Linked DNA regions of Daphnia pulex. The protein of the gene in region 1 binds, or shares a complex with, the protein of each later gene. Links are inferred from orthologs where the notes say so. Each region holds a gene or a part of one and is shown on either strand. Other genes may lie near its edges.

Evidence for each region. The genes of interacting proteins can lie anywhere in the genome.
Region 2: chromatin target of PRMT1 protein-like (region 1) and THO complex subunit 1-like share a complex: the UniProt entries of both Homo sapiens proteins name them as parts of the transcription/export (TREX) complex. The link is inferred for Daphnia pulex from reciprocal best matches to the Homo sapiens genes CHTOP and THOC1.
Region 3: chromatin target of PRMT1 protein-like (region 1) and THO complex subunit 3-like share a complex: the UniProt entries of both Homo sapiens proteins name them as parts of the transcription/export (TREX) complex. The link is inferred for Daphnia pulex from reciprocal best matches to the Homo sapiens genes CHTOP and THOC3.
Region 4: chromatin target of PRMT1 protein-like (region 1) and THO complex subunit 7 homolog share a complex: the UniProt entries of both Homo sapiens proteins name them as parts of the transcription/export (TREX) complex. The link is inferred for Daphnia pulex from reciprocal best matches to the Homo sapiens genes CHTOP and THOC7.

The regions. Positions count from the first base shown.
Region 1 is NC_060027.1:3,846,791-3,851,615, reverse strand, and holds chromatin target of PRMT1 protein-like, read left to right. Parts: upstream 1-1,852; 5' UTR 1,853-2,008; coding exon 2,009-2,064; intron 2,065-2,232; coding exon 2,233-2,401; intron 2,402-2,463; coding exon 2,464-3,138; 3' UTR 3,139-3,593; downstream 3,594-4,825. Other genes in the region: tRNA selenocysteine 1-associated protein 1-like, read left to right, coding at 215-253, 394-591, 658-808, 876-1,040, 1,103-1,560; protein timeless-like, read right to left, coding at 3,720-4,075, 4,145-4,379, 4,449-4,825. UniProt on the Homo sapiens protein: Plays an important role in the ligand-dependent activation of estrogen receptor target genes. May play a role in the silencing of fetal globin genes.
Region 2 is NC_060026.1:6,262,154-6,267,604, reverse strand, and holds the start of THO complex subunit 1-like, read left to right. Parts: upstream 1-1,838; 5' UTR 1,839-1,954; coding exon 1,955-1,996; intron 1,997-2,076; coding exon 2,077-2,159; intron 2,160-2,220; coding exon 2,221-2,513; intron 2,514-2,715; coding exon 2,716-2,938; intron 2,939-2,997; coding exon 2,998-3,103; intron 3,104-3,169; coding exon 3,170-3,438; intron 3,439-3,501; coding exon 3,502-3,631; intron 3,632-3,694; coding exon 3,695-3,903; intron 3,904-3,958; coding exon 3,959-4,102; intron 4,103-4,176; coding exon 4,177-4,324; intron 4,325-4,870; coding exon 4,871-5,149; intron 5,150-5,451. Other genes in the region: calcium-activated chloride channel regulator 1-like, read right to left, coding at 1-3, 84-254. UniProt on the Homo sapiens protein: Component of the THO subcomplex of the TREX complex which is thought to couple mRNA transcription, processing and nuclear export, and which specifically associates with spliced mRNA and not with unspliced pre-mRNA.
Region 3 is NC_060028.1:7,656,627-7,661,446, forward strand, and holds THO complex subunit 3-like, read right to left. Parts: upstream 3,190-4,820; 5' UTR 2,736-3,189; coding exon 2,556-2,735; intron 2,489-2,555; coding exon 2,332-2,488; intron 2,272-2,331; coding exon 2,067-2,271; intron 2,001-2,066; coding exon 1,839-2,000; intron 1,763-1,838; coding exon 1,510-1,762; 3' UTR 1,314-1,509; downstream 1-1,313. UniProt on the Homo sapiens protein: Component of the THO subcomplex of the TREX complex which is thought to couple mRNA transcription, processing and nuclear export, and which specifically associates with spliced mRNA and not with unspliced pre-mRNA.
Region 4 is NC_060023.1:12,052,974-12,056,881, forward strand, and holds THO complex subunit 7 homolog, read right to left. Parts: upstream 2,360-3,908; 5' UTR 2,213-2,359; coding exon 2,203-2,212; intron 2,142-2,202; coding exon 2,021-2,141; intron 1,955-2,020; coding exon 1,528-1,954; 3' UTR 1,314-1,527; downstream 1-1,313. Other genes in the region: transketolase-like, read left to right, coding at 1-359, 425-689, 749-1,293; ataxin-7-like protein 1, read left to right, coding at 3,538-3,625, 3,804-3,872. UniProt on the Homo sapiens protein: Component of the THO subcomplex of the TREX complex which is thought to couple mRNA transcription, processing and nuclear export, and which specifically associates with spliced mRNA and not with unspliced pre-mRNA.

The sequences.
Region 1 (4,825 bases):
ATATGACGCAAGATAGAAAAAAAACAATTTTTTTTATATGAACAAAGTTCATGAAATAATTATAACTTGGCCTTGGGCATTTTTGCGGCAGTTGGAAACATAATAATTTTTTAAATCTGGCATCACGCATCACAACTGTCATTCGTCGTTCTGCGTGCGATTTTTTCAGTGAATTTTCAATATTTGCTTTTTTTTTTACAATTAACAACTGAAAATGGCTTTAGAAAGGGCAAGCAGTTTATGGATTGGTGGGGTAAGTTTTTCTGGTCCTTTTTGGCCAAAATGTGTATCAAATGTAAACGTGTTCGGTGATCTGTATTCACTTTTTTGCCGGCTCAATGCAAGTCTCGTGTCGAATGGAATCCTCTAATGTGTTTACTGTTTATATTTTAGTTAGAACCTTACATGACAGAGGAATTTCTTATGCGATCTTTTGAATTAATGGGAGAAAAACCTGAAGCCATCAAAGTCATGAGAAATAAGCACACTGGATTACCTGCTGGTTTTGGATTTTGTCAGTTTCGAGATGAAAAGCAAGCAATGGAAGTTCTACACAAATTGAATGGCAAAATCATTCCATACAGTCAGCCGGTAGTGTATTAACTTTTAATTTACCATAATTTATATTAGTTATATTATCTGTTTTCCCACTTTTAGCCAAGCCGTTTCAAGTTAAATCACAGCACAAACACTAAAGGTTCTACAGCCGATCATGCACTGTGGGTGGGAGATTTGAGTGCTGATGTAGATGACTATGGCCTTTACAAATGTTTTTCTGCAAAATATAACTCAGTTCAATTGGCAAAGGGTAATTTGTAAAATTTCTGTAATGATTTTATTGGCAATTATCTGAACTTCTCGTATTTTATGTTTAGTGGTCAGAGGCAGCAATGGAGAAAGTCGCGGCTATGCGTTTGTTAATTTTTCTAATGAAAGTGATTACAAAGATGCGCTGACACATATGCAAGGTCACAGAGGACTCGGCAGCAACCCACTTAGAGTTTCATTGGCTATTCCTCGTAATTACAACATGATACCTGGTAAATGCACGCTTAAACTTTTCTTTGGAGTACATTTCATTTCATACTCTTTTAACTTTTAGGATCCTCATCCAGTACATCTTCTACTTCTACGTTAACTGCATCGATTGCTTCGTCAATTGTCCAGGCCGCAGCCAGCGGCCAGCCAGTTCAACCTCAAGCTGCTGCTGCAGCAGCTGGCTACGGACAGTACGTCGATCCAGCCTATTGGCAACAGTACGGTGGCTGGCAAGGATATGGTTACCAAGGCGGATACGGCTATGATGGTCAACAAGCTTATGCCGGATATGGCGTTGCTGGGCAAATGCCTGCTCAACCTGAAGAAGATGAGTTTGAGCTCATAGAACACAATACACCCGTCGATATTGAGAAACTGAACAGAGAACTTTTTGAGCGCAATCAGGATTTGTGGGATGCACTAGATGAAGCTCGCTGGACAACATTCAATCCAGAGAAAGCCGTTCCGGCAGTTAAAGCTGAGGAAAACGGAAGCAGTACTCCTACAGTAGTGGCCGCCTAATTTCTTTTTATAAAACACTATTGACCATCTCATACGATAAAAAAACAAAGATTCATTTCTGCTTGTCATCTGATTTTGTTTTACAGAATGAATACATTGATTTCAAATAAATACAGATTTCCAATTCTTTCACTTTCTGTATTATCTAGTATATTTAATTATTGACATGATTCTACACCCATAAAACATTTCCTCCACCCACATTTTTTAAAACATGCACTCTTACTCAATCGTAAATCACGACATACTTTCTTTTTTCCGCTAGGTGTCACTTTACTACCCAATAGCAGTCGAAAAAAGTTGAGCGTCATTAGTTCACAGCCGGGCAAACATCAGCAATTGTTTTCATTGACTTCACGAGAAACATTTCTAGATAGCTCGAAATTATCTGTTTTCGGCATTTTCTTGACCGTAATTGAACTTTGGTTCAGCAGTATTCTAGCACAAAATGGCTTCAGGAGGCAGAGTACCAAATAATTCAACTTCCTTATCCTTACATGAAAGGTATAAATCATTAGGCAATTTGGGTTTGTTATGTCGTATATGCGATTGAAATAGTTGTTTGCCGCAATTTTCCCCCTGTTAAACATTGAATTTCCTTGCTTTTATAAAGTATGTGTTGATTTTCTTCTCATTTGCTGATTTTTAACGCATGAAAATTTTTCGTTACAGATTCTCCAAATTACGAAGCTCAGCAGGGGGTCAGAAATTGGCTGGAAAACTGCAAGGGGCTAGAAATAATGCAGCTAATCTTCAAAAGGCATCAAGCAAGAATAGCAGACTAGCTCAACAGATGGAAAGACGAAATGCATCAGTCAGTGCTGCTTTGAAACTGAAAAAGGTGCAATTCCTCGTTTTTAATTCATAACCAGATATACTTACATCATTTATACTGTTATTCAGAAAAGCATCAAACAACGCCTTGGAGCCACAGTAAACACCAGTACTCGATTTCGCGGAACGGCCACCCAAACTCAAAGGAGACTCACAACCAATCGTGGAGCTGGTCGCGGGAGTCAGTCGCGAGGATCTCTGCGAGGAAGTCGAACGCAAGGGCAAACGGTCACCCCAACAAAGATAATTCGAGGCCGGGGCGGACTGAAGCCCATTGTCAGCCAAACAATCGTTCGTGGCGGTGGACAAGGAAACAAGAGAAGCACTCGCGGAAGAATCATTTCTCCATCGAAAAAGCCAGCCCCCGTTGCTGCCACAACCAATCGTTCGCCGACCAAACCTTCGCGTGCTAGAGGCAGCGTGAGAGGAAGACGAGGTGGTCGAGGGCAGATGACATCTTCATTGATTACCGGGCAAGCTGAAAGTCGTATCCAGCGTGGAAGAGGAAGAGGACGAGGCCAACGTGGTGGTAAGGGACCCAGTCGTGGAGGAAGCAGCTTGCCGACATCTCCGCGCGGTCAGACATCCGGACGTGGTCGAGGGCGTGGTCGAGGTGGCTCTACCAAGGTCAGCAAAGAAGATTTGGACAAGCAATTGGATCAGTACATGCAAAAGACTCGTAGCGCTCTAGACAATGATATTGAATCCTACATGTCTAAAATTGGGGACGTTGAAATGAATTAAATATGCAATAATCTTTCTCCAGTCGTTACCTCACCTGTGCTGCTCCCCAACTTCAAACGAAAGAACCTTCTTACTAATAACTCCCCTTCGCCAAGTCTTGATTGACTATTAACAATGTTTTAGTCCTTAAAGTTAAAAGTGAATCCAATTCAGAATTTGTCTTTGAGAAAATGGTTGGACTGTTGTGAAGAGTCTAGACAGAAAAAAGAGATTTTGGACAACCTTGTCTTGATTTCATTCTAGCACTTGATTAAATGGTTCTTGTACTTTCCCCCAGTTTTTGGAGTCCCTTTTTGCCGTGTGTTTCTTGCTTTTCCCTCCTGTTACGGCGCACTTAGCACATGTATCTTTTTATAATTCATTCATATTTCATCCGAGGACTTGAGTGTGAAAAGGTGTGCCTGTGAAACGAGAAAGAGAAACTCATCCCAAAAAATACAAATGATTAACCTCAACACTAATTTGATTTTTGTTCCTTCATTTAATCGTCGCTGATCATAGACAAAATTACAACAAATTACTCTAATGATTGGCCAGCAGTAATCAAGCGGGACCGATCGAAGCTAAATTAAATGGATAAGCTACAATTTTCCTACACAACTCAAGTCGAAATCAACTTGCTGATGGGCAACGGAACCCAACGAAAGAGCAACATTGTACAGAGTGTCTGGTGACCATTCGAGTGGGATCCTTGGATAGGTGCCAGCGTTAGGAAGCGAAGGGAAAAGACCCAGTTGACGCAGAAAAAAGCGAAAGGGTTTCGAACTCAATGCGGAGGCTTCCGCTTCCGTCCAAGGGACTATCGGGCATGGCGTATTCAATTTCAAGCTCAAACAGGTAATTGGATGACGGAATTCGTGGTCGGAGTAAATGCCCAAACGTGCTGCACAGGCCGTCAATAAAGACGACTGAATCCAATCGAGTTGTTTCTGAAATCCTATATTTATCGATACATTAGATATAGCTTAAACAAGATGGGGTGTTATAAAAAAATAATAAGACTTACCATCGCCTTTGAGTAGAATAAGTAGCGACTCAAAATCGGTTCGGAGATTTTCAAACTCGTCATCGTCGTTGTTAAAAGTTTGGCTAGTGAGACTTTCAAATTCCATCGAACGCCAATCGTCTTGATTGGAAAATTCACTAGTCTCTCGGTCAGGTGATGTGTTGCCAATTTTGCCACGGCTCAGATTAAATATGTGTACAGCATATGCAATTAGATCGTGCCAATCGTCAGAAATCTAAATAGCAGCAGCAACCAAACGTTATCCATTAAATGAGTGAAACACGGAATTGTTGACTGAACCTACTTGGAATGCCTCCTGCCAGATTGAGGCAAAATGACGCATAATATTTGGCTGGCAAACGAGAGCGATTTCACTTAGATCGCAACCCACATGATGCAACATGGTGAAAATGCAATCGTTCAAAAATGGCCCGTTCGTCCTGAAGCCTTCGAGAGCCGTTCCGTATCGGGCCATTATTGTTTTTGTGCAGAATTGATTCAAATGCTGATGCAGATTAAAATCCCTGGCTCCCCCTGGCTCCTGGTGAGGGACCCGCTCGAGTATCAGCAACAACAGATGGTTGGCTGTGATGACGTCGCAAAGATAGCGCCGACTCTGAATGTCCGGATTGAATTGTAAAAGTTGGAGCAGAAATAATTGTCGAATGTCCCGGGCCGCCG
Region 2 (5,451 bases), on another chromosome or scaffold:
CAACTTTAAGAAGAAATAATAAAATTCTTTTGTAACAAGAACAAGGAATAGTAAAAGCTTTGAAAGAAACTCTAAAATGTTACCTTGATGTTATCCAATAAATCATCAGCTTGATCTGAGGGAACATCAGGTGAAATTGCTATGACAATATCCCGATAGCCGTTGTTGGTTATGTTGACTCGGCTGCCGATGGCGCGAAGAGACAGGCAGCTAAAGAGCAGCAACAAGAGAAGACGATGATGACAGACCGCCATGGTGTCGTCGCTTTTGGAACTATAAAGTGGAACTGAAAAGTGAAATTTTCGGACCAGTTTATATACACGCAACCTAAAGGTGAATCACAGAAAAAAGATTGCACAACCGTTTGCGATCAATTGAATAATACCGTTAGATAGCCTTATACGTGACAAATAAATTATCTGCAAGCCGTTCGGCCCCTTTTGCTCCTTTGTCATGGGCCATGGGTATTTTTTTTTTTTTTTTTTTTAGCGATATCTTTTTATTTTTTCCTTTATCCTGGTGAAGTTGAGAAATTTTGATAGCAAACCGGGGAAAAAACCAACTTTTTGTCAATTTTGATACTTCAAAGTACAAGTACATCTTGGCATTTTGCCCTGGAGACAGCGTTGTGACTGTTTTGTTTGCGTACTTTAGCTTGAGATATAGTAATGTTTTGCGAGTTATCCTTTACTCCCATCAATTGTTACTAGCCAATGCAGAGAGTAAATAACCCAAGATAATTACATTAAAGGCTTGACAAAGAGTTATTGTAGCCAGCAAATAAAAAACAAATCGACAAAGTTTTTGGCAATCATCCTTCTTCTATTCGTTCACAGGGACGATTTGAACAGAGAAAACAACTTCTTCTCATTAAAGGCTCTCAAAGCGATCGCCATCTACATGTTTAATTACAATAGAATAAGGCCTAAGGATTCGCGTTTCTTGCTTCAGCTTACGTGCCGCGTCATCTTTCGTTGATGACGTCCTGCAGTCCAAATGACACAGATAAATTGGTTTGAAATAAGTAAAATTTTATATCTTTTATCTGGTGTTTTATAATGCTACTAATAATTTCCTTTTAATTTATTCTTATTTGAGATGATCAAAGGCGAAATAGGATTTTAAAAAGTGCCACAAACGGCGGTTCCCTGCAGTAAAGAATCGATATCTCTAATCCTCTATGCCTTTTCCTGGTGCACTTCAGGAAGTAGACATAAAATCAGAGCTCGTAAGCAAACAGAGGTAGTTCAAATATAGAGACTAGAACAAGGTTATGAAATCTCGGTAGATAGTGCAGTCGATACTGTAGTTGTAATATGGCAGGCAATACCTGCCGATTTTCATAGGAAATCAAATGATAAAAGTAATACGAATGGAAGTTGAAAACATTCGAGTATTTGAATGCGCTTAAATATTGTTTAGTAGTGAAATGAGTAGCATTGGAATGCTATTGAAAATATTGAGTTCAAAAAGGCTACTTATTGTCGATTACATTAAACATGAGAAATGTCTTAAAATTAGGTAGTTTTTATATGGGAATTTTATCTTTATTAAACTCGGTGCAGTCCCGCGTTAGATGATTTTTCAAAAAAGGACTCTCTTTTGTAGAACACCATTTTTATTGATCCGTCGACTCGCCATCTAGGGGATGATAATCGAGTAACATTTTTGTATGAAAACGTCAAAACGGTAATCTCAGTCAAAACATATTCTTTGAACAGATAAATTATTTGATTATCACCGATTACTTATTAGTTAAACTTGAATGGTTTGACATTTACTTCTTTCCAGAATTTCCGCTTTCCGGGATTCGGAAAAAAAAATCAAGTTGATTTTAGAATGGCAACATTGCAATTTACAAACTTGGCAACGCAACCAAGTTTTGAAGCGTCGTCTGATCGTTTCGAAAACACGACTATTTTTATGTTTCTTACTTTGTAAAAAAACCACTGAAATGGAAATATTTGATTTTGAGAAAACTCGGTGTTCGTTTCTGGTACAGTAAAAAAATCTATCAATGAGCCATATTTGAAATAAATTGAAAAATCTTATGTCTTCTGTGTTTGGTTTCTGTAGGATTCCATTTCTGAAGCTCTTAAACTGGGTGGTCCACCCACTATCAGTGAATTACTTTCAGTTAACAATACAGCTCATCTTGGGTAAATTTAATCAAAGCAGAAAGTATTTACATATTATTGTAATTAAACATATTTATTGTAGGGAAGCTGATAAAAAAGCTGTATGGGATCAGGCGTTTAGAGACAGATTTTTGAGTGATTCCTCAAACTTTTCCATACCATTGTTTGAAAAGTTGTTGCAGTTGAGTCTGGATTGTGCAGTAGCTCTAGTATGTTCTCCAACACTGCCTGTGATTTTGCTCACAGATGCTTTTGACATCCTGTCTCTGGAAAAATGTGAGGAAATTTTCTACATGGTTGAAATGAAAGTAGCGATTTGGAAACAAGAGCTTTTCTTCAATCAGTGTAAAAATACCTTACTTCGCCTTTGCAATGGTATGTAAAGACATTTTTCCAAAATTCTAATAATGTATGACACAAATATTTATGTAACTGGATGCATCTAATTCTGTATTGATATGAATTCAATCCATTACTCTTATTTCAATGTATACCACTCTGCTAAATTCATTTACAGTGTTTCGCTTTATGTGAGTTGTGTTGCTGAAATGAATTTTATATGTATATTTTTTTTCAGATCTGCTGAGGCGCTTGTCCCGAAGCCAGAACACGGTTTTCTGTGGTCGAATTCTTCTATTTCTTGCAAAATTTTTCCCATTCTCTGAACGATCCGGACTTAACGTAGTAAGCGAATTTAATTTGGATAATTTGACGACATTTGGAGCTAAAGATGAAAGCTACGCTGCTGATATATCTGCTAATTCTGAAAAGCACAAGGATGCAATGGAAGTAGAAGAAAGGTATATATATTTGATTGACAAGTTATTGCAATATTTTTCTAAATTTTCTTGTTTTGTAGTTTGAGCTCCGACTACAATCTGTACAAAAAATTTTGGTCCCTACAAGATTTCTTTCGAAACCCTAATCAGTGCTATACGAAAATCCCGTGGAAAACGTTTTGTTTGGTAGCTAAAACATCAAGTATTTCAAGTTAAAATTTTCCATCTAACAGAAAAACAATTATTCTTTAGCATACTAGTGATGTTTTGTCTGCATTTTCTACTATCAAACTGGATGAGCGGAGAAACCGCTCTAAATGGGATGAGGCAGATGTGGCATTAAACATCGATATGAATGAAACCAGCATGAATGGTGGAAATGTCCAACAATATTTCGCCAAATATTTGACGAGTCAAAATCTTCTCGAACTTCAGCTCGGTGACTCCAACTTCAGACGTTACATTCTGCTGCAGTTTCTGATTATGTTCCAATATCTGGATTCACCTGTCAAGTTTAAACAGTTAGTTTCAATAAGTTTCATTAGTTAGACTATTTCAACCGCTTGAATTGCTTCTATTTATAGCGAAACTCACAAGCTCAACGAAGAACAAACTACGTGGGTTTCCGAGGCTATCGATCAAGTCTATCGGTTATTGAAAGATACACCTCCAGATGGCGCTTCTTTCGTCCAATCTATTCGACACATACTAAAGGTATACTGAGTTGTATAAAAGTAGTTTTAAAAAATATCATCCATCGGTGTTTGTTGGATGTAGCGGGAAGAATTATGGAGCAACTGGAAGAACGATGGCTGCCCGGAATTCCGGCCCAGCATAACCAGCTCAACCACTGATAATGATACTATAAAAGATGGTACCAATGGAGAAAAAAAGACGATCGTAGTTGGCCGACCAAGACGGCTCAAAAGAAGTCTTGGAGATCAGATTCGAGAAGCTTCAAAAAGAAATAAGTGCATTATTGGAAAGTAGGTAAATTATGAAATTATTTGAAAACATTGAATTACAGCTTTTTCTCTTTAGCGCTGAGATGAATCGTTTGTGGAATCTATGTCCTGATAACATGGCTGCCTGTCGATCTAAAGATCGAGATTTTCTACCTACATTAGAAAACTATTTTGAGGAAGCCATTGAGCAACTGGATCCTTCAGTGGAAAGCCAGTACAAGTAAAAATTTGCACTTTAAAGCTTACATTTTTCCGAAAATGTTTTAACTGAATGAGCGATTTTCGTGTTTCCAGGCGAGTTAGTGAGGCTAATTTTGGGTGGCGTGCTTTGCGGCTTTTGGCTAGACGAAGTTTACATTTCTTCACTCATGGTAATACTCCTATCACTCGGCTGCCAGATTACTTGGAAACGCACGTTCGCAAACTGGCCAAGGACATGCAGGTAGAGTAAAATCAGATGAATATCACGGTTCCCATTCTGCAATACAGGGAAAAGTCAGGGATTTAGGTTCTCATTTGGGAATATATATATATATTTTTTTTTAATATTTTGAGGTATTTTGAATTTTGTTATCGAGACTCATAACTTTTGCACGGGTTTTGCTGTTAAACAAAGATTTTGAAATAGTTGATCCAGAAGAAATACAGACGAGTTTGTTAGGTGTCAGGTAATTTTTCACATTCATTTGTCTGGAAATCCCTGGATAATCTTGATATATTACTGGTTTTGTAGTTGGCTTATTCAAATAATATGATAATAAAAATTATAGGCTAACATTTATAAGTATTGTGGGAGAATGATATTGTATGCTACGTTTACGAAAAGCATTTATCGAAAGGGTTTGAATAGGCAAGCTTAGCTTGCAACTAGCGATTTGATAAATATTGTCCTAATTTTCTAACCGTGCAAAATTTGAAAATTGATCAAACTTTAAAATAATGCGGTCAAAACATTGTTGCGTACATTAATAACAATCTTCTCATTTAGCAGTCAGCAAATGCATTGCCTAATGTAAAACCGGAGCCAGTGGACGACGCTGGTGAGGTAGAACAAATGGAACCGGAAGCAGACCCAGTGTCCAATAACTCGGAAATTGAAGGAGTCCCAGAAGAAACTAATGTAAAACCGGATGAGATGGAAGAAGAAGAAAGCACTGAAAAGAAACCTGTACTTTGCTGCACAATGGATCAACTCACTCGCTTAGCAAAACAAATCGGGACTAATTGGAAACTTCTCGCACCAAAACTTGGTTTTGGACCAGATGAGGTAACTACAAAATTTAAGACGTTCTGTTTTTTTCGAATTTTGAATTTAAGCCCTTTAGTTTAATAGTCTTAATGACGCTGCATTATTTTTTCAAACATAGAAAACGAGTAAATTCCGTCATATTATTAGTTTCCTAGTTTTCTTGGCTATGATAATAGTTTTATATACAGTGGATGCATGAGATAAAGTTAAAATTGCATCCACCTGAGCTGGATGTGCACCAATCAGCTTTAGGTTCAAAATCTAATCCCGAGACGTACACAACCTGAATTCAAATATATATATTTTTTAAATTATTATTA
Region 3 (4,820 bases), on another chromosome or scaffold:
CCAAAACTTGGAATTCAAGTATTAGCGCACACAGCAGCAAACATTCCAGGAGAAAAAAAAAGAAATGTTGCTCTTAAATAACTCCACTATTTATGCAAATAATTTTTGGCGTTTATAATAAAAAAAAAAGGTACCTGCTGGGCACCGAAGCCGAATGAAGAGACGGAACTTGGCCGTAGAGCGGCCGATGTCTGCCGAGCGACACTTGCGTTGTGAGCCACACGATTACGCTCCTCTCGTTTTAGGTTGACTTGTTGTGAGCTTCCTTTGTCGGCGTCTGAATACCTTCGGAAATCGGATGTAGACTCTTCTTACGACGACGACCCTAAAGCTTTGCTTTCAAAAGGTCTCTCAACTCGGAAAACGACAAAGAGGCTAACTTGGCAGCTCTGGAATAGGTTCACATTTCATTTTATTATTTATTTTTTTAAAGAAATGCCTCGTATGTTTTCTGTTTTCTTATCGGGCTAGAAAGGGGACAAGAAATGAAACATCGCTAGGTATTTATAATGAAAGTTATAGATAGCAACTTGGTCTACATATACGAGGTTCAAGACCGAATAAACTATTAAAACGTTCAATTGATTTTCGAATCTTATTACGAGAAAATTTAAGAATAATTTGATGAGTCTAATTACGAGATAAGACCATAATTTACACAGTGGCAGAATTTTCAAAAGTAAACTTTAACTGCGCAACGCACAAATTCAAAAAAGAAATAAAAAATTAAAGAATGCGAATAATTTCAACTTCTCGCATCCGTTTTACACCAATCGCAAAGCAGATAAATAACAGCTTTCCATGTTGGAATGACACGAGAAGCATTCCGAGTATTTCACGTTCTAGCTGCGGAGAACAATGAACATGAATCTACTCGAGCAAAACGATACATTCGTCTATGTGCCGCTTTGCTGCCTATATATGGGTGTGTGTGTTTAGTGTTTACCAACTACCGTTACGAAATATCAAACGACATTTTAGCCTTGTACATAATCAACGGCACGTATGATGTAACACAAACTATCAATCTATCTGTTTCTACGAAATATGCTTATTATCACGACAACTTAAATTAATTTGCCTTTAGTAATAGAATAAGGATAGGAATAAGTCTTACCTAGATGGACTGCTTGCATAAAAGCGTCGTATTTCTTTAAACGTTAACGCCCTGTTTTTTTCATTATTGACTAAAAATTTGTGCCGAACGGTCATCACCTTTTAACAAATATGGGATCTAGTAATAACGAAAATTATTATTGAGTAATTAATTATGTTTGAACGTTAAAAAAAAGGGAAAATGTGTCCTGGAACAATTCAGTTTTCTGGAAAAGATCTCTGATCTGAGATCCATTTTACTTGTATCTCTCTCAACACAGTTGAAGTTTGTAAGCTTGGCAAATAGTTCTTGACAAGAGTAAACAAGAAAATCTGCAAGTGAAAAAATAAAAAAAAAAAAGCTGGATTCTGTATAAAACACGAGACCTCCTAGTTTTGATTCGTATGGGCCCATCACTCGTTAGAGAGACCAAAGAGCTTCACAGTTCCGGCGTCTCTGTTTCCGTCGTCTTTATCGTCACAGGCGTAGGCCAGCAGGTGAGAGCGTGGATGCCAGGCGACTGTGAAGGTTGGCGTGTCAACTGGAATGCTGATAACGCGCTCGCCTGTACCTACGTGGCTGACGTCGATCAGCAAGTCCTCTGACCCGGACGCCAACATGGACCCATCGTGACTGAAACTCAATGTCCGAACTGGCCAATCCAACCTAAAGGGGAAACACCCAGTCAGTAATTGAATAACCTCAATAGAAAACGGCACGTTATTATTGGCATTAATGTTACTTGGAGAAAGTGCGCAAACAAGCAATTTCATCGGCATCCCACAGAGAGACTAGGGCGTCGGCCGACCCAGTGGCAAAGTACCGTCCAGTGGGGTCGAATTCGATGCAAATGCAGTTGGCGGGGTGAGCCTGTGTGACGTGAACGGTCGTAAGCTCTGGGTAACTAGATACAAGAGAATTGATAGCGTCATGCTAGATTGAAAGCAGGGGGAAGAAAATTCATCATTACTCTAATATGTGGATGCAGCCTTGCCCACTAGTCAAAAAGAAAAGATTGCTAGCCTTGTTCCATTCTATTTCGTTGACTTCAAACTTGAACGGATGTTCTATTTTAATCTTAAAATTCCTGGCATCAATAAAAGTAACAAGGTCTTCCTTATTTCCCACTGCAATGGAATTTCCATCAGGTGACCACGTGATGTTGATATTTTCTCCTGTCAAATCACATTAATGAAGGATTGAATGTTTAAGCATAATTTCGTAATTAATTGTACCCTTGGTGTTTACTGTGGCGACACTCTTTTTAACTCTTGCATCCCAAACTCTCATGGTTTTGTCTCCACTGGCGGTGCTGAGCAAATCAGGATTGGTTTCGTGCCAACATAGCTGATCGACACTGTCATTGTGTCCCACAAACGTTTGCTCCTTAACCTGAAACAGAATGCCTCAAGCTCCATTATAATTGCTGCATGATTGATAAGCCGGGACTAATACTAACCAGTCTGTCGCTTTCCATAGTAAAAATGCACACCGTCTTGTCAAAGGAACCCGACGCTAACCGTCTTCCATCGCAATTCCAATCAACCGTGTGAACCTTGGCCGAATGTGCAGAGACTTCCCTCGTTCGAGTGTGCGTTTTAAAATGATTTTTCAGCTCTTCCAATTCGGCGACTGCCATCTTCTTATAATTTCGGGAAAAAAAAGCGGTTTATATACCTTTACTCGCGTGTCAACAAAACACAGTGTGTGCAGACGAACTAACGCGAAGCCGGTCGTCCCGCCATTTCCAATGCCAAGTCTCTTCTTCATCCGCCAGATGGCAGTTGGAGCGCGAAATTTGAAATTCCTAACTCACTAATAAAAGAAAAAAGGGGTCGGGCAAGGAATGCGTGGTGGTAATGTCGTCTCCTCAATTGGCTCTGATTAGTCGGACGTTAAACGATACGTTTATCGACTGGCTGGCCCAAAATAACAAAAATAAAATAAAAAAGGCGTAGGGTGGGCGGATAGGTGGAAATGCTTTTGTTACCAAACACGGGACACACACCGTAATCAAGCGTGACTAGTACACACACACACACACACAATGAACTCAACAAGCGAAGGGCGTCCAGCCTCTATCAGACGAGATCTAGCTGCATGAATATTATACTCTCTCTCCCAAGTCCCAGCTACACATATAAACTATAGCTGTGGAGCTTGCGCCATTTTGAATGTTATTACACGTCCGATAAATATATATATATCTACACGGCAATAATATGCGCCAAAGCCAAAAGAACCGAGTCCAAATCAACTGGGATGGGCAGCAGCAGCAGCAGCTATGCCCGTTTCTTCAAAAACTACGACTATATAGATTTCAGTTTTCTTATATTTTGTTCTTTTTTTCTTTCTTTCACAGCGCGCAATCATCAAATGATCCGTGTTTGGGCATCGGGGTAATATAAAGCAACAAAAAGTCGTAGTCTCTCTCTGCCAGTGCATGCTGGACCCACAGCGCCGGCACACAGCACATAAGACATCTACAACAACTACAACCAGAACGGCTTCTATATAACGCTAACGACTAACGAGTTAGCATCGACTTTACAAGAATTTACAGCTGTATAGTCGATGGAAGAAGAGAGCGGGGGTAGTAAGGAGAAAAAAAAGGGAAATTTACGAGTCCCCCTCTTCTTCTTCTTCTAGGAGAGAAAAGAAAAAGAAGACGGCCATAAAATAAGCAAATTTCTTGCCCGTTAACTGACGATAAAAGCGACTGGGCGTCCAAGCGCGCCTTGTGGCCTGGCCTGGCCTGGGCTGCTGCTGATGCTCCTACTGGACCTCCTTTTTCTTTGGCTGCTCTCTCCATCATTACACACACCAAAAGAACTTCTTCTTCTTCTTCTTCTATTTTGATAGCCAATCGGTCCCGTGTGTGCGTAATAACATATCGCAGTCGTAAATCTGCGAACGTCTCGTTTCGTTTTGCCCAAAAAGATTCTTTTTCTCTCTCTTTCCCTGGACCTTTTGGCTGGTCACTGGACTCGTCTCGTTGGCCTATACCCAAAGAGTAGTAAAATAAAAATATATAAGAAATAAAGGAAAAAAAAGGGTTTTTTTTCCTTCTATTTTATTTAAAACTCTTCCTTCTCCCCTTCAAATGAAAACGTCTATAGGGTAATACGATTCCGATGATACGCTTTTTTGTTGCTGGTGTGCCTCGACACTTTATGGAGATTGGACCCGCTGGCCCGTTATATATATCCCGGTGATTTACAACGCGGATATATATATATATAAATACAGCAGGGCAGCTCTGCTGTGTGTGTTGTAACATTAAGTATATAATATATATAGGAGAGTTTCTATTACAATAGGCATTCCGCCCGACGATGATTGCGTTATTGTTGCCTGTTCCATATTGATGAACTATGCTAATTGCATTCCATTCTTCTTCTTTTTTAGACCTTTTTTTTCGAGATTCGCTGGATATTATTAGATGAATAAGAGTCTCTCCTATTCCGTGTAGCTATATAATATCATCGCCGTCGTTTCGTTCCGTTTGTATTGGCCAATTGGTCCCTTTATTTTTTCTTCTTCCTTTTTTTTGATTGGATTCCATTCCAGTCGATATATACAATTTCCCCCCCCCCCCAGTTGATTTTTTCACGGGTCTACCCGTACGCGACAGATAGCTTAAAAGTGCTTTTTTATTTTTTTCCCCGTTTCCCAAGCTTACGTTAGCTTACATTAGCTTATATTTCATATAGTAGCCCAAGAG
Region 4 (3,908 bases), on another chromosome or scaffold:
CTGCCATCTTGGCCAAGACTTTCAAGGGTTACAAGTTCCCATCCATTTCGGATGAGCTTGATTGGCATGGAAAGCCTCTTGGTGCTAAGGCTGATGAAGTTATCCGAGCCATCGAACAACAGATGCAACCCGGAACTGCCACTGGTGCCCCGAAAATTCTCGAGCCCCTCAATGACGCACCAGTGGTCGACATTGATGATCTCCGTCTTTCCACACCTCCTGCCTACAAAATGGGTGAAATGGTCGCGACTCGCTTCGCCTACGGAACTGCTTTGGCCAAGTTGGCAGAGCACAACTCCCGAGTCATTGCTTTGGATGGTGACACCAAGAATTCCACCTACTCTGACAGAATCAAGAAGGTAATTGATTTTATTGGTCATTGTATTCTAACGTTTTGTTAATTCTCAACTAACGCTATTATCAGGTGTCAGCCGAGCGTTACATCGAGTGTTTCATCGCCGAGCAGAACTTGGTGGGAGTAGCCATCGGAGCCGGATGCCGTAATCGCACCATCCCTTATGTCTCTACTTTCGCCGCTTTCTTCACCCGAGCTTTCGACCAGCTCCGCATGGGTGCCATCTCGCAGACCAACATTACCTGCGTCGGATCACACGCTGGAGTCTCCATCGGAGAAGATGGCCCATCTCAGATGGCACTTGAGGATTTGGCCATGTTCAGATCCATTCCAGGTGAGTTTAAAGTGACATCTTTTAGGGAAATGTTTGACTAAACGAATTATTATTTGTAGGCTCCACCGTGTTTTATCCCAGCGACGCCGTCAGCTGCGAGAGAGCCGCCGAACTTGCCGGAAAAACCAAAGGAATTTGCTTCATTCGTACATCTCGCCCCAACACAGCCGTCATCTACGAGAACGAACAAGTTTTCTCTGCTGGAAAGGGTCACGTTGTTCGTAGTCACGATCAAGACGATTTGGTTATCGTTGGCGCCGGCGTTACACTCCACGAAGCGCTGAAGGCGTCCGACATGCTGATGGAAGCCGGCATCAAGGCTGCTGTCATCGATCCATTTACCATCAAACCCATTGATCACGATTTGCTGTTGAAGGAAGCCACTCGTTGCAACGGCCGGGTTTTGACCGTTGAAGACCATTACCCAGAAGGTGGATTGGGTGAGGCTGTTGCTTCAACTCTAGCCGAACAACGAAATATTATCGTCAAGATTTTGGCAGTTCGCGAAGTTCCCCGCTCCGGTCCTCCAGAGGTTCTCCTAGAACATTTTGGAATCGGCGCCAAGGCTATTGCCGAAGCCGCGAAAAAACTTGTTGCGTTGTAAACGCCCTTTTTTTAAGTCACTCATTCCTATACCCATTCCTTACCAGAGGTCTATGGATAGTTGAGAAGAATTGGTGGTGTTTTTTGAAACATTCTTCTATGGCATTCCAAGTCGTATATGTACCGTTTGGATAGTTTATTCATACATAGCTTTTTTGGTGTTTCAAATGATTTTTATTTGTTAGCATTATTATTCAAAAATAGAAAAAAGGGATGCATACAAAATGAACAATTATTAGGATGCTTCATCATCGTTAAGAAGTTGCTGTAATCCTTGGATAGTTGAAATGAGTAAGTGAAATTGTTTGCGTCTTTGTTCTAATTTGGCCTCCAGTTTTTGACATTCACATTCTGAAGCTTCCAGTTCCTGTCGCAATAGGGATAATTTCTCTTGGTTGCTCTTTCGATCAGGCTGTGTTTGAATAATGGCAGCCAAAGCATCATATTCCATTTTATTCCTGCGAATCTGTCTTGCTTCTTGCAACTCCTTCTTGGTTGCTTCAATGTCTTTTTTAGCTGACACAATTCCTTCTTCAATCTGGTTGTAGAGGTCGTCATAGTGCTGCTGTTCTGCAGTGTTCATTTCACAGCACCTCAAGGATTTTGTGGCAGCAAATTCACATTGGGCAATCTGACCAATCATTCTAGCGTAGGATGCTTGTCTGTAAAACAAATAAAAATACATCACATATAGAGTATAGAAGAATTTTATACAAAGATTAATTTACGTTTCTTCAACACTATCTGTAGAGTTGCACCAAGCTAGGAAACCTTTAAGCAATACATTAAGTCTTCTTTCATCACCAGTTCCTTCGCCATCAAACAACAGCCTCCTTCGGATGATCTCTTCTACATAACGAAGTACAAGATGAAAATTAACCGAAATAATATTACTAACAAGTCAAATTACCATCTCCCATTTGTGAATAATGATTGGGATCAAAATAAGACCAATAATAATACAATTTAACTGGTAAAGCTTTGAGAATATTGAGATGTCAAACCGGGCGAAAGAATGAGATGACAAACCTAGGAGAAATGTCGCTGCGGAAACGCCGGAAAGTACTGAAAAATGAAAAAATATTTTCGTCTGCCGTAAGCGTAGTTCGCTCGTCTTTTGTTTTGTTTTTTAAATCCGCCAGCAGACGACACGCCCCTCAAATGAAAGGAAGGAGACATGGCTTTTTAAAAAATCATCCGATTGATTAGGTATCTATTTTGTTTAGGGTTAAACTTGCATGCCTGTATAAACATTAGCAAAACCGAAAGAGAGCTAGTCCAGCAGATCAGCAATATACTTGGGAAACCATTGAACGGTTTAGAATCAATCAGGTGATGTCAAGGAAAGAATCCAATGAAATGCTGGATCTGGAGTGTTGTTTTTCTCGTTTCCAGATTAACGTCAATCTCTTCTTTTTAATTAAACTGTTGCCTTACATTCTAGGAAAACCTGTTTTTATTGTCCTGAAAATTGAGATTGGTGATCAAGATTGACAGATTCATTTTAAACAGGTGTGTAACTGACAGTGAAAAAATAATTTTGGGTGCAAGATACTTACAAACAACATTTATTTGTAAGTATAAAAGGTGCATGTCAATTAATGGTTGTATTTGTCAAGATGTCAGATGGTTGATTGGTTGGTAATATAAAATAACTGAGTTGAGAGAGATTTGGTACCTCAATGGGGAATTTTCACATATGTGTTTATCAGTTGATGTCATTATGATTATGTGCAGCTTGTTCTCATAGTCATACTTGTTGCAGTCCATGTGTGAAAATTGTAAAAAGATACTTAGCGCAAAGAAAAATGTACTTTTTGAGTTCCGCAATGCATAAAATCTTTTGCCAAAATTAAAAAAAAAATAGACGGACGATTGAGGATTTAAATTATTGCTAGAACGTTTCGCTAGAAGATAATTTCATCATTAAATCATCATAAAATTTCATAAATTGCCAACGAATAGAATCAACAACTTTAGTACGCTTACACATTAAGGTCTTCAAGTGGCAAAGAAACGCAACGCATTTTTTAATTCTAGGAAAAATATACAAGTACTATATTAAAGGTAATTTTGAAATAGTCCAATGGGTGTTAATGCCATAGAGTAATTAGAGGAGGCAAGGCATCAAGGGCAGTGGTAGCTGCCGAGCTGCTTTCACTATAGTTGCAACGCTGTTGCAGGTGAGGAAAGAAGACGGAGTCTCGGAGAGGAGAAATTAAGAAAAAATTTTCTGTTAACAAAGATGGCGTCCAACGATGACAGTCCAACAAGTCTTCATGGCCAGCCTTGGTCTGTTTGGGCTGATAGATTAGGCAGAGATAGTCCATTAAGTGAGTAAATTGCCTTATAAGTTGTCTTTTCTTGATAGCTAACGGATATTTTGTGAAAATTGTTTTGATGGTGTTATCGAATCGGTACGGCTTCGGCCTATCTCGATGGACGGCTGTTTAAATTGTCAAAATAAAATGTTATTCTCGATATTACCTTTGTCGCCTTATCATTACGCAGGTGACACAGATGAACAATCCAAAGTCAATCAGAAAAAAGAAGGCGACGCCATGAAATTGCCGAAGCAAGGTGATTGGTTTCATGAGCTTGATGTATATGTTAAGT